3 linked regions of the Rattus norvegicus genome follow. The protein of the gene in region 1 binds, or shares a complex with, the protein of each later gene. Links are inferred from orthologs where the notes say so. Each region holds a gene or a part of one and is shown in the gene's direction. Other genes may lie near its edges.

What was found.
Region 2: Cul7 (region 1) and Obsl1 share a complex: the UniProt entries of both Homo sapiens proteins name them as parts of the 3M complex. The link is inferred for Rattus norvegicus from reciprocal best matches to the Homo sapiens genes CUL7 and OBSL1.
Region 3: Cul7 (region 1) and Ccdc8 share a complex: the UniProt entries of both Homo sapiens proteins name them as parts of the 3M complex. The link is inferred for Rattus norvegicus from reciprocal best matches to the Homo sapiens genes CUL7 and CCDC8.

Annotation. Positions count from the first base shown.
Region 1 is NC_086027.1:21,823,768-21,827,411, reverse strand, and holds part of Cul7 (cullin 7), read left to right. Parts: intron 1-259; coding exon 260-395; intron 396-487; coding exon 488-684; intron 685-937; coding exon 938-1,181; intron 1,182-2,194; coding exon 2,195-2,432; intron 2,433-2,525; coding exon 2,526-2,631; intron 2,632-3,621; coding exon 3,622-3,644. UniProt on the Homo sapiens protein: Core component of the 3M and Cul7-RING(FBXW8) complexes, which mediate the ubiquitination and subsequent proteasomal degradation of target proteins. Core component of the 3M complex, a complex required to regulate microtubule dynamics and genome integrity.
Region 2 is NC_086027.1:84,428,903-84,432,546, reverse strand, and holds part of Obsl1 (obscurin-like protein 1), read left to right. Parts: intron 1-1,717; coding exon 1,718-1,990; intron 1,991-2,727; coding exon 2,728-3,003; intron 3,004-3,077; coding exon 3,078-3,365; intron 3,366-3,519; coding exon of another isoform or gene 3,520-3,644. UniProt on the Homo sapiens protein: Core component of the 3M complex, a complex required to regulate microtubule dynamics and genome integrity. It is unclear how the 3M complex regulates microtubules, it could act by controlling the level of a microtubule stabilizer.
Region 3 is NC_086019.1:86,806,380-86,810,488, forward strand, and holds the start of Ccdc8 (coiled-coil domain-containing protein 8), read left to right. Parts: upstream 1-1,227; 5' UTR 1,228-1,732; coding exon 1,733-3,688; 3' UTR 3,689-4,109. UniProt on the Homo sapiens protein: Core component of the 3M complex, a complex required to regulate microtubule dynamics and genome integrity. It is unclear how the 3M complex regulates microtubules, it could act by controlling the level of a microtubule stabilizer.

The DNA of each region.
Region 1 (3,644 bases):
CCACATAGCAATGTTGAGGCCAGTCTGGGACCCCCGTCTGAAAGAGAGTAAAAACAGAACTAGAATAAAGGAAGTAGAGGCCATTGCTGAAGAGAGGGTGGGGCTGTCTGTATATACACTGTCGTCTATGCATTCTATATATTCTATAGCCAGTGTTGCTATTTGGTCACCTTATAGACCATGAGCCCCAGCGTTGGGCCTCAGCTGATTAATAGCAAATCCTCTTCTCCTTCCCTCTTCCCGCGCTCCAATCCTCCAGGTGTTGTGGGATTCGACAGGCCATACCTACTGGGTACACTGGCACATGCTTGAGATCTTGGGCTTTGAGGAAGACATTGAGGATGTGGTTGACATTGATGACCAGGGGGCAATGGTCCATGGAGGACTGGGTGTAGGTGAGCTCGGGGAGGGGTTGGCTCTGAGCCGAGAAGCAGAGGCCTACCTGGGCAGGCAGTGACTTGGCCGTTGGCACGCCCCGTTTTCACAGCCCCGCCATTCCAGCACTGGAAGCCCATAGCTCAGCTCTTTGCCGAGCCTTACGTGGTGCCCGAGGAGGAAGACAGGGAAGAGAGAGAGCACTTGACCCAGGCCGAGTGGTGGGAGCTCTTCTTCTTCATCAAGAAGTTAAACGCAGAGGAACGGCAGCACGTGGTGGAGCTCCTTCAGGAGTTCCTGGAGGGGGAGGTAGGCACTCCTCAGAGGCGCCCCCTACAGGTCTGGACTGGAACATTTGCAAAGCTCGGGAGGGGACGTGGAGGTCAGATAGCATCAGGGGCCCACAGTGGAGGAGTCTGGGAAGTTCAAAGATGCAAGTGTTGGTGGGCTGTCAGCTACCAGAGGTTCAGAATGGTGGATGTGTGTGGAGATTCCCCATTCCCCCAGAGGACCTCTCACCATCTGCTCGTTCAGCTGCTACGGGCTGACTTTCTTCCCACAGCATGTTCTGGACTTTGAGATCCTGCCCGAGCTGACTGTACCTGTTGAGTTGGCTCAGGACCTGATGCTGTCTCTGCCTCAACAACTTGATGACAGCGCTTTGAGGGACCTGTTCAACTGCTATGTGTACCGGAAGTACGGCCCCGAAGTCCTGGTAGGGAAGCGAAACCGCCCGTTTGTGCTAGATGACCAGCTTAACCTATTCCGGATCGAAACGGACTCTGAAGATGAGGCTGGCGCTGAAGGTGAGTGTCCCGCAGACAGCAGCAGAGACACCTGCCTTCGGGAGAGTGTCGTCACAGGGGGGTCTCCTCTAACAGTGTGCTGTCCTGTCTGAAAGAGATACCCTACCCACAGTCCCAGAAACTTTATATGTGCGTCCACGTGAGTGCGTGTGCGTGCGCGCGCGTGCGTACCTGTGTGTCTAGACCCGAAGACAATTACAGATGTCGTTCCTCAGCTGTCATTTATCTTTTATTTAAATTGATTTTATTTTAGCTGAGTGTGGTGGCCCACACAGATATCTGAGTTTGAAGCCAGCCTGCTCTATAGAGCAAATTCCAGGACAGCCAGGGCTACACAGAAACCCTGTCTCAAAAGTACCAAGCCGGGGTTGGGGATTTAGCTCAGTGGTAGAGCGCTTGCCTAGGAAGCGCAAGGCCCTGGGTTCGGTCCCCAGCTCCGAAAAAAAGAACCAAAAAAAAAAAAGTACCAAGCCAAAAAAAAATTTTTATTTTATTTTATTCGTATGGGTATTGTGTGTCTATTACGTCCATGCAGTGCCCACAGAGGCCAGAAGAGGGCGTCGGCTCTCCTGGAGTTGAGGTTCTAATTAGTTGTGAGCTGCCAAGTGGATGCTGGCGATTGAACCTGGAGCCTCTGGAAAAACAAGTGTTCTTAATCTTGACCCATCTCTGTAGACCCATCCGCCACACTTTTTCTTCCTCCTTTCTTTCCTCTATCTCTCTTTCTTTTCTTCTTTTTTTTTTGGGGGGGGGGGGGGGCAAGTTCTCCTGCTGCCCTGGTCCTTGCTGTCTCCACCATATGTATGAACCACAGGCATGAACCACTGTGTTCAGTTATTGTTTCTAGAAGATTTTATTTCTAATTATGTGTCTGTATGTGGGTTCGTGCGTGTGAATGCAGATACCCCAAGTAGGCCAGTGAGACTGTCAGATGGCTGGAGCTGGAGTTGCAGTGGGTCACGAGCTGCCTGACACAGGTACTGCCAATTCTTACCCCACTCTTGTTCCTCCAGCCCAAGATCCCCCATCTCAGAGTGCCAGCCCTGCCCTGCGGCAACTGGTGGAGGGCTTGGGCCCATCTGGGAAGCTCCTTGTGGACCTGGAGCGAGCCCTCAGCTCTGAGGCTCCCCAGGAAAATGAGGTCAAGCCATGCCTGCTGCAGCTGCAGGAGGAGCCCCAGCCCTTCCTCACACTCATGCGGAGTCTGGACACTCCAGCCAGCAACAAGGCCCTGCACCTGACTGCGCTGAGGTGGGAGAGCAGTGAGGGGCAGGGCTGGGCACAGGAAGGCCTCACACCAACCTGATTATCTCTCTACCTTCCCGTTTCTGTCTCTCCCCCTAGAATCTTGATGCAGCTGGTGAACTTCCCTGAGGCACTGCTGCTTCCCTGGCATGAAGCCATGGATGCCTGTATGACCTGCCTTCGGTCCCCCAATACTGACCGAGAGGTAGCCCTGTCCCACTCTGGGGAGATGCTGGGCGGTGGGAGGACCCCAGTGAGGCAGACCCCCGGGTGAGGCTTGGAGGATGCAACAGAGTCTTTGTGTTCTTGCCTTTAAAATGAAAATCTTATGTTTTTTAAATAGGTAATATTCAGAAAAGTTCACAAGTCAAAATGGCACAAGGTAGTCCTTGAGAATTCTGGCTCTTACCTGATTCTCATTGTCTGAGCGTCCTTGCTGGTAACCCACTGTATTAATCTATAGTCTGTCCCCTGCTTCCTTAAGCGTATAGAAATGAGCTCGGCGGGCTTCAGCCAGGCCTTCAGGAGGAAGGGGAGCAGCCTCGCTGCTCTTGTAGAGGACCCAGATTTAGTTCTCAGCACCCACCGGACAGCTCGCAACCATCTGTAACTCGTTCTAGGGAGGAGGTAGACACCTCTTTCTAGTCACATGCACACACGGTGTAATGGCAGGCAAATACTCTCACATAAGATTTAAATAACTTTACGAAATCTTTTCAGAGAGGGAGTGAGGGAGCAGACTTTTCTATAAGAGGTCCTGGGTACAGGAGGCCTCAGAAGGGTCAAATGTATGGTGTTAATGAGTATCTCAAGTCGATGCCTTCAGTTGCCAAGCTAGACCAGAGAGAAGTTCAGGCCTTCTCTTCCCTTCTAGCCCTCATTAAGTGTCTGGGCTGGGGGCCTACACATCTCAACACCAATCCTGCAGCTGGCTCCTGGGAGCCACAGCTGAGTCCAAGAACTGAGGATCCTCTACCTGTTCCCCACATACTTGGTGGCTAAGAGCCCCAGAGGGCAAGCAGGCTCTTCCCATAGGTTTGACCTTGTTTCTCTAACTGCACCTGGTTTTTATATTACTTCCACACACTGCCTTGCTCGGCTCCCAGCACAGAGTGGGCATGAGTCACCACAGCTATCCATGTAGCCGAGGCTTGCCCCTTTCTTCACTGTCCCCTTGATTGACATCCCCGCTCAGGTGCTCCAGGAACTAATCTTTTT
Region 2 (3,644 bases), about 63 Mb from region 1:
ATTATAGCTCACAGCCCCATTCCCAGTGTGCATGGTAGAGGAGGGGGCATTTAGGCACTTCCGGACATCACAGAAGAACCCCAGTGGTAGCACAAGGACAGCTACCCTATTCTTCACAGTCCTCTTGCCTTCTTTCCTGACTTGCCCAAGGAGCCATGCCCAGGATGAGCTGCTTAGGGATTTCCACTCACTATACCCCAGATGGAGTCCACAATTGCAACAAGACTCCTTCTCTAGTTCCCAGCCCTGACCAGACATCACAACCACAACCAAAGCACCATAGGCTGCCTCACTGTAAAGTTCACACAAATGCCACCTCACCTCCAGGCCTGAGTGGATCAAGTCCCACCACACCCAATGGCTTCTGTAGTTATATCTTTCCCCCCATCTCACTGCCCCAACCTCTGCCACAGTCATTCCATACAGAAGAAGCTGCCTTCTGTAATCCTCTGGCCTTGTCATGACTGGATCAGACATTTTGAAAAAAAAAACGCCGTCTTGTCTCCACAAGACATGGCTGTTTCTGAGCTCAAGTGTACTGTGTGGCTGGGTTTGGCCGGGTTTGGCCAAGAACTGAAAAATCTTAGGCAGGAAAGCCAGCAGTTCCCTTGCCTGACCACAAGGGGGCCAGGTGTACGCTAGTCTTCTGGAAACTATTTGTAGGAGAGCAAGAGGGGGTGGTATTATGGACAGGCAAGCTTGGGCTTGCTGAGGGTCTAATAATACTGACTTAGCTCCTTTTCTGTGGAAGAGTGATCTGCCCCTGAGTACAAGCTCCCTGAAACAGTGTAGCATCCCTGGGAAACTTTAGACAGGTCTTAACAACTTTGGTATACAAGGATTCAGTCCCTAGTTGCTTAGGAGGCTTGGATACCCCCTCTCCCCCACCTGCAGCAGGAAGCCTGCCTAGGACAGAATGCTCCCTCTCCTGCTCCAGGAGCTGTAGCTGTCCCGGACCTTAAGGGCAATCCATTGCTTAATCATTTCATGACTCAGTTCTTTCATCTGGAAAATGGAGACAGCATAGTGCTTTCCTCCAGACATCAGTGTGAGGCTCAACAGTGCTCAGAACTACGACTGGAGCATTAGGAAGTGTTTGTTTTTTACAGATCCTGGTTCCACCCCTGCACAGTTTTGAAAGCCCCCAAGCCCTCATAACCAAAAGGCTTCTTAAAAGTTCAATAGTCGTCCGCTATGATGGTTTACACTTTTAATCCCAACCCTCAGGAGATAGAGGCAGGTGATTCTCTGTGTTTTCCAGACTATCCTGGTCTACATAGTAAGTTTCAGACCAGTCGGGGCTATGTAGTGAGATCAGAAGTTTGGCAGTTAAAATTTATTTCACTAAAACTGAGTTTAACTGATGCATACTTAATTATTCTTTAATTATCTGGCAGGGCTAGTATATCTGTATCTCTGTGAGACTTGACTGTATCTTTTAGTATATCTTGCTGAGGGTAAATATATTAGACAGCAAAAATGTCAATGGGAGTAGTTATAAGAGGCAGAGGCAGGACCTGAAGGTATCTACCAAATGAGGAAAGTCCAGAAGATTCTGGGTTCTGTAGATGACTGGTCTTGAGGATTTCAGGGACAGACCAGGAACTTACTGTTACTTATTACTCAGAATGCAGGGCCGTTATTAACACGGGCCAGCAGGGGCCCCATGCTCTGCGCGGTCATGCTAGTTGACAGTTGTGCTTGCCGTGTTCTGCAGAGCCCCCTGTGCGGATCATATACCCCCAGGATGAGGTGACCTTACATGCTGTGAGTCTGGAATGTGTGGTGCTCACATGTGAGCTGTCCCGAGTGGACGCTCCTGTACGATGGTACAAGGACGGGCTAGAGGTGGAGGAGACGGAGGCCCTGGTGCTCCAGAGTGATGGGCCTCGTCGCCGCCTGGTGTTGCCTGCGGCCCAGCCGGAGGACGGGGGCGAGTTTGTGTGTGATGCTGGGGATGATTCAGCCTTCTTCACTGTCACTGTCACAGGTGGGTAGTTTCCGCAGACACCTCCAGGGAGGTAAAGAGACGGGGTGCTATAGGACTTACATCTACTCTCCCTACTCCCCCCGTTTCCCTTCCCCCATGCCTCTGCCTACCAGACTCCTCAGTCTTAGTCATCAGAGAACTCAGTTCAACCCGGGACAGTGTCCACAGGCCTGGTGAGAGGGAGCCTAGCAGTTAGGATCATTCATTCATTCATTCATTCATTCATTCAGCAAATGCTTATCTAACAACTAGCGTATGCTTGGCACCATCCTAGACGCTGAGGTACAAAGTGAACCAGTGAGCTACAAGTTTCAGTGTTCGTGGAACTCATGTTGGGAAGTGGTAGTGAGGCAAAAAAAATTTAAAAAAAATAAAAAATTTTTTAAATTTTTAAAAATTAAAAAAAAGAAAAAAGGAAAAATGGATGGTTTATGGAGGAGCAGTAGCTGTCAGAGGCAAAGCATAGAAAGGAAGGAAGTGTGGATGGATCTTTTTGGGGGGTACCAAAATTTTTGGGTAAGTAGTTTTTTGGGGGTCACCAAACATTTTTGGAGGTACCAAAAGCTTTTTGGGGGTGGTGGATCTAAGGAGAGGTGAATGGATAAATTTGGGTATAAGTCTGTCTACAAGTCCTTTTTTTTCATAGAAGCCCCTCAGGTCTTTACCATAAAGTGTATTGGAGAGGTAGGGAGAGGGCATCAGTCAAAACCGTATGCCCTTTTCTGCCCACCCACCAGCTCCACCAGAGAGAATTGTGCACCCAGTGGCCCGATCCCTGGATTTGCAGTTTGGGGCTCCAGGACACGTGGAGCTACGCTGTGAAGTGGCCCCGGCTGGGTCTCAGGTGCGCTGGTACAAGGATGGGCTAGAGGTAGAAGTGTCAGATGCACTGCAGCTGGGTGCGGAGGGGCCCGCCCGCACTCTCACCCTGCCCCACGCCCAGCCTGAGGATGCCGGGGAGTATGTATGTGAGACCCGAGATGAGGCTGTCACCTTCAACGTCAGCCTGGCTGGTGGGTGTGCTGGGCCAGCCTGGGGTGGGGAGGAAGGGGCTGGCTTGGGCTTACGACCCCCTTTCCTCGTACAGAGCTTCCAGTGCAGTTTCTGGCTCCAGAGGCAGTCCCAAACCCGCTCTGCGTGGTTCCTGGGGAGCCAGTGATGCTGAGCTGTGAGCTGTCCCGAGCAAGCGCACACGTGTCCTGGAGCCATAATGGGAACCCTGTGAAGCAGGGTGAAGGACTAGAGCTTCGAGCTGAGGGTCCTCGCCGAATCCTCTGCATCCAGGCTGCAGACCTAGCTCACACAGGTGTCTACACCTGCCAGTCTGGGACAGCCCCTGGGGCCCCAAGCCTCAGCTTCAATGTCCAGGTGGCTGGTGAGTACAGCCTGGGCAGAAAGCCTTCGTAGTCCCCATATCCAGGGCTCCCCCACTTCCTAAGACATCATATCTTTCCCTTGCCCCGTTTCCCCAGCCTGTCTCCCTGTCCTTCTCATTGCCCTCCCAGTGACCCCTAGCTCTGACCCCACAGAGCCCCCGGTGCGGGTAGTGGCCCCCGAGGCAGCCCAGACGAGGGTTCGAAGCACCCCAGGCGGGGACCTAGAGCTGGTGGTGCACCTCTCCAGGCCAGGGGGCCCTGTGCGCTGGTACAAGGAC
Region 3 (4,109 bases), on another chromosome or scaffold:
TTGCTTTAAAAATATTTATGTGCATTGGTGTTTTGATGTATATCAGTGTGAGAGTGTTGGATTCCCTATAAGTGGAGTTACAGATGGTTGTGAGCTATTATGTGGGTGCTGGAAACTGAACCCAGGTCCTCGGAGAGAGCAGCCAGTGCTCTTAACCAAGGAGCCGACTCTTCAGCCCCAAGAAAAGATTTTATTTTAAAAACGTTTTCATCGTGTGTGAATTTATATGTGTATAATCTGTGTGTAGGGGTGCACATGTGGAGACTGAATAATAACTTTATAGAGTTGGTTTTATGTGGATGCTGGGATTAAATTCAGGCCATGAGGCTTGCATGTTTTTACCGAGTTATCTTTTTTGTTCTTTTTTTTTTTTTTTTTTTTCGGAGCTGGGGACCGAACCCAGGGCCTTGCGCTTCCTAGGTAAGCGCTCTACCACTGAGCTAAATCCCCAACCCCATTTTACCGAGTTATCTTGTGGGCCCCCTTTTTATGTGCATGAATGTATTCTCTGTGCACACACGCAAATCACGTATGTAAGTGCACACAGAGATCGGAAGAGGGTGTTGGATCCCCTGGAACTGGAAATACAGAGGGTTGTGAGCCATCATATGGGTTCTGGGAGTCAAATCCAGGTTAAGGGGTTGCAAGGGCAACCCATGCTCCTAACCATTGAGCCACCTCTCTGGTTCCATCGCCTTAATTTTAAACGGACATTCATAATTGCAATGGCCTTCAAAGGATTTGGGACATCGGCACCCACACCTCTTGGGCTTTTGGGTCAAGGATGGCAGGTTGGGACCCCCGTTGCCTTTCGGGAAGGATGATGACGTGGGTCTTGGCTGTAGCTAAGAGAAGCCCTGGCCCCAGTGAGGCTCTGAGGGACAGCCACACCTCTGTGGGGGAGGAGAGGGAGGCTGCCCTGAAGGGAGTGGACAGCCCCGCTGCCAGTCTTCCCAGGCTTAGAGTGTAAGATGAGAAGGAGAAGGTGGGCCTCACCCAGGAGGGGAGGGCGCCCAGAAACTTCCTGCCGCTCTCAGCTCCACCGCAGACTGAGCGCAAGGTCAGTTTGGAGAGGGTGGCGGCCTGCCTGGGGGCGGGAGACCCTCCTCGGGGCTGGGCGGAGGCCTTTAAGCGCCTCGCCATATTGAACGGCCACGCTGAGCCATCTTTGTCTGCAGAGTCCTCCCACGAACTTTCAACTTCATCCCGGTGTCTGGGGCAAGGGAGCAGCGATCGGAGCTCGTGCGTTTCCAACTTGGAGCAGGGACACTGGCGATTCCAGTTTGGACTGAGCTTTGAGCCTCGGGACTAAGCGTGCCTCGGTTCATGTAAGCATCCTGGAAAACTCCTTGATACAACTCCGAGGGGGTTGGGGGAACCCAACTTGGACTTGTCGCCTGAAGAGAAAATTACAGGGAGGCGACACTGCGTGAGCAGAGTTGCTGGGACCCTCCACTGCTCCCTCCCCAAGACTAGAAGCCGAGAGAGCCTGGGCTTCTTGCCCCCAACTCGGGAGTCCACACTGGAGATCTTAAAGACTCTCGAGAAAAGCCACGTGGGGGGATGGTTCCCCTGGGGCTTCCTCCCCTCTCCCGATTGCCTGATCCTCTGGAGTGTCCCCGACGTCTGCAAAGATGTCGATCTGGATGTGTTAGTGGAGGCCTTAAGGCCTGTGGGCACCTTCAAGAAGATCGGGAAGGTGTTCCGCAAAGAGGAGGACTCCACGGTGGGGATGCTGCAGATTGGGGAGGATGTTGACTATCTGCTCATCCCCCGGGAGGTCCGGCTGGCTGGGGGCGTGTGGAGAGTCATCTCCAAGCCTGCCACTAAGGAGGCTGTGTTTCGGGAGCGGCTGATCCAGTTTCTGCAGGAGGAGGGCCGCACCCTGGAAGATGTGGCTCGTATCATCGAAAAGAGTACTCCACATCCACCCCAGCCCCCCAAAAAAGCCAAGGTGCCCAGAGTGAGGAGAGTCCCGCAGATGGTCACTCCTCCACTTCGGCTGGTTGTAGGCACTTACGACAGCAGCAATGGCAGCGATAGCGAGTTGAGTGACTTCGATACATCCAAAGTCAAAGGCAACAGGGGCTCCGGGAAGACCAGGAAGGTGCGCAAAATGCCGGTCAGTTACTTGGGCAGCAAATTCCTGGGCAGCGATGAGAGCGAGGATGATCAGGAGCTGGTAGAGGCCTTCCTCCGCCGCGGGGAGAAGAAGCCCAGCGCGCCTCCTCCACGGCGCCGAGTCAATCTTCCAGTGCCCATGTTTGAGAATAACCTGGGGCCCCAGCCATCCAAGGGGGACAGATGGCGGGAGTATGTCAGCCAGGTGTCCTGGGGGAAGCTGAAACAGAGGGTGAAAGGCTGGGCGCCCAGATCAGGCTCCGAGGTGGGCCAGGCCCAGCAGTCCTCCATAGCTGAGAGGGCTGGAGAAATGAGACACAGCCACACCAGCCCAGACCTGGATGATAGCTCCAGAAACACAGGAGACCTGAGCGACCAGACACTGATTACTAGACGCTGGAAGCCCAAGATCAAGTGGGTCTCCTTGAGACGATGCAGGAAGGAGCAGGTGCCACCCTCGGCTCACGGGACAGCTGAAGAGCCCCCAGAGGCTGCAGAAAACCAGGGAGCAGGGGCTGCAGCTGAACATGGGGTAGAGGCTGCAGCTAGCCAGAGGCCAGAGGCTGCAGCTAGTCCAAGAGCAGAGGCTGCAGCTAATCCAAGAGCAGAGGCTACAGCTAATCCAAGAGCAGAGGCTGCAGCTAATCCAAGAGCAGAGGCTGCAGCTAGTCCAAGAGCAGAGGCTGCAGCTAATCCAAGAGCAGAGGCTGCAGCTAATCCAAGAGCAGAGGCTACAGCTAATCCAAGAGCAGAGGCTGCAGCTAATCCAAGAGCAGAGGCTACAGCTAATCCAAGAGCAGAGGCTGCAGTTAATCCAAGAACAGAGGCTGCAGCTAATCCAAGAGCAGAGGCTGCAGTTAATCCAAGAGCAGAGGCTACAGCTAGTCCAGGGGCAGAGGCTGCAGCTAGTCCAAAGGCAGAGGCTGCAGCTAGTCCAAGGGCAGAGGCTGAAGTTAACCAGAAGACAGAGGCTACAGCTAGTCCAAGGGCAGAGACTGCAGCTAGTCCAAGGGTAGAGGCTGCAGCTAGTCTAAGGGTAGAGGCTGCAGCTAGTCCAAGGGCAGAGGCTACAGTTAGTCCAAGGGCAGAGGCTGTAGCTACTCCAAGAGCAGAGACTGCTGCTAGTGCAAGGATAGAAGCTGCAGCTAATCTCAGGGCAGGAGTTCTACCTGACCAGAGGGCAGAAGCCATAGATAGTCAGAGGGCAGAGGGCCCAGTTAACCAAAGCACTGGTGCTACAGAAAATCAGAGGGTGGAGGTCCTAGCTGACCAGAGGGCAGGGGTCCTCCATGACCAGAGGGAGGAGGCTGGACCTCAAGCTATACTGGAAGCCTCAGCTGATTCGGGATCTAGAGCCCGGAAACAGGTAAAGACAGTGAGGTTCCAGACCCCAGGACGCTTCTCCTGGTTTCACATGCGCAGGAAAGCTTTCTGGCACACTCCCAGGTTGCCAACCCTGCCCAAGAGAGGCCCCAGGGCAGGGGCGGGAGAGGCTAGGAGCCTCAGGGTGCTAAGGGCTGACACCAGAGCAGACATGGAACACAGAGAGCAAGAAGAACAGCTGTAAGGGAAGCCCAGTGCCCCGGCACCCTGCCTGCACCCTGCCTGCGTGGTGTTAGCTGCTAGGATACTTCTCTCCTCTGTGGGCTGCCTCTTCCTCCACATTTGAAAATGGAGGCTGCAGGGGCAGGCAGCACTGACCACACCTTTCCTCCCCTTTCCACACTCATTCTCTACTTTCTTCTCTTCTGTCCCTCCCTGCCTCCTTCTCTCTCCTCTCTTTTTCTTTCCTTCTCTGTCTCTATATCTTTATTTGAGACAGAGTCTTGCTATGCAGCCCTGATGGCCAGGTGCTCCATATATAATTGGTCTTAAACTCACAGGAGTCCTCCACCTTAGTGCCCAGAGCATGAGGTTACAGGTGTGTGACACTACATCTGGCTCAGTGACCCTCTTTCTGTTTTGTTTTGTTTGAGACAGGGTCTCTC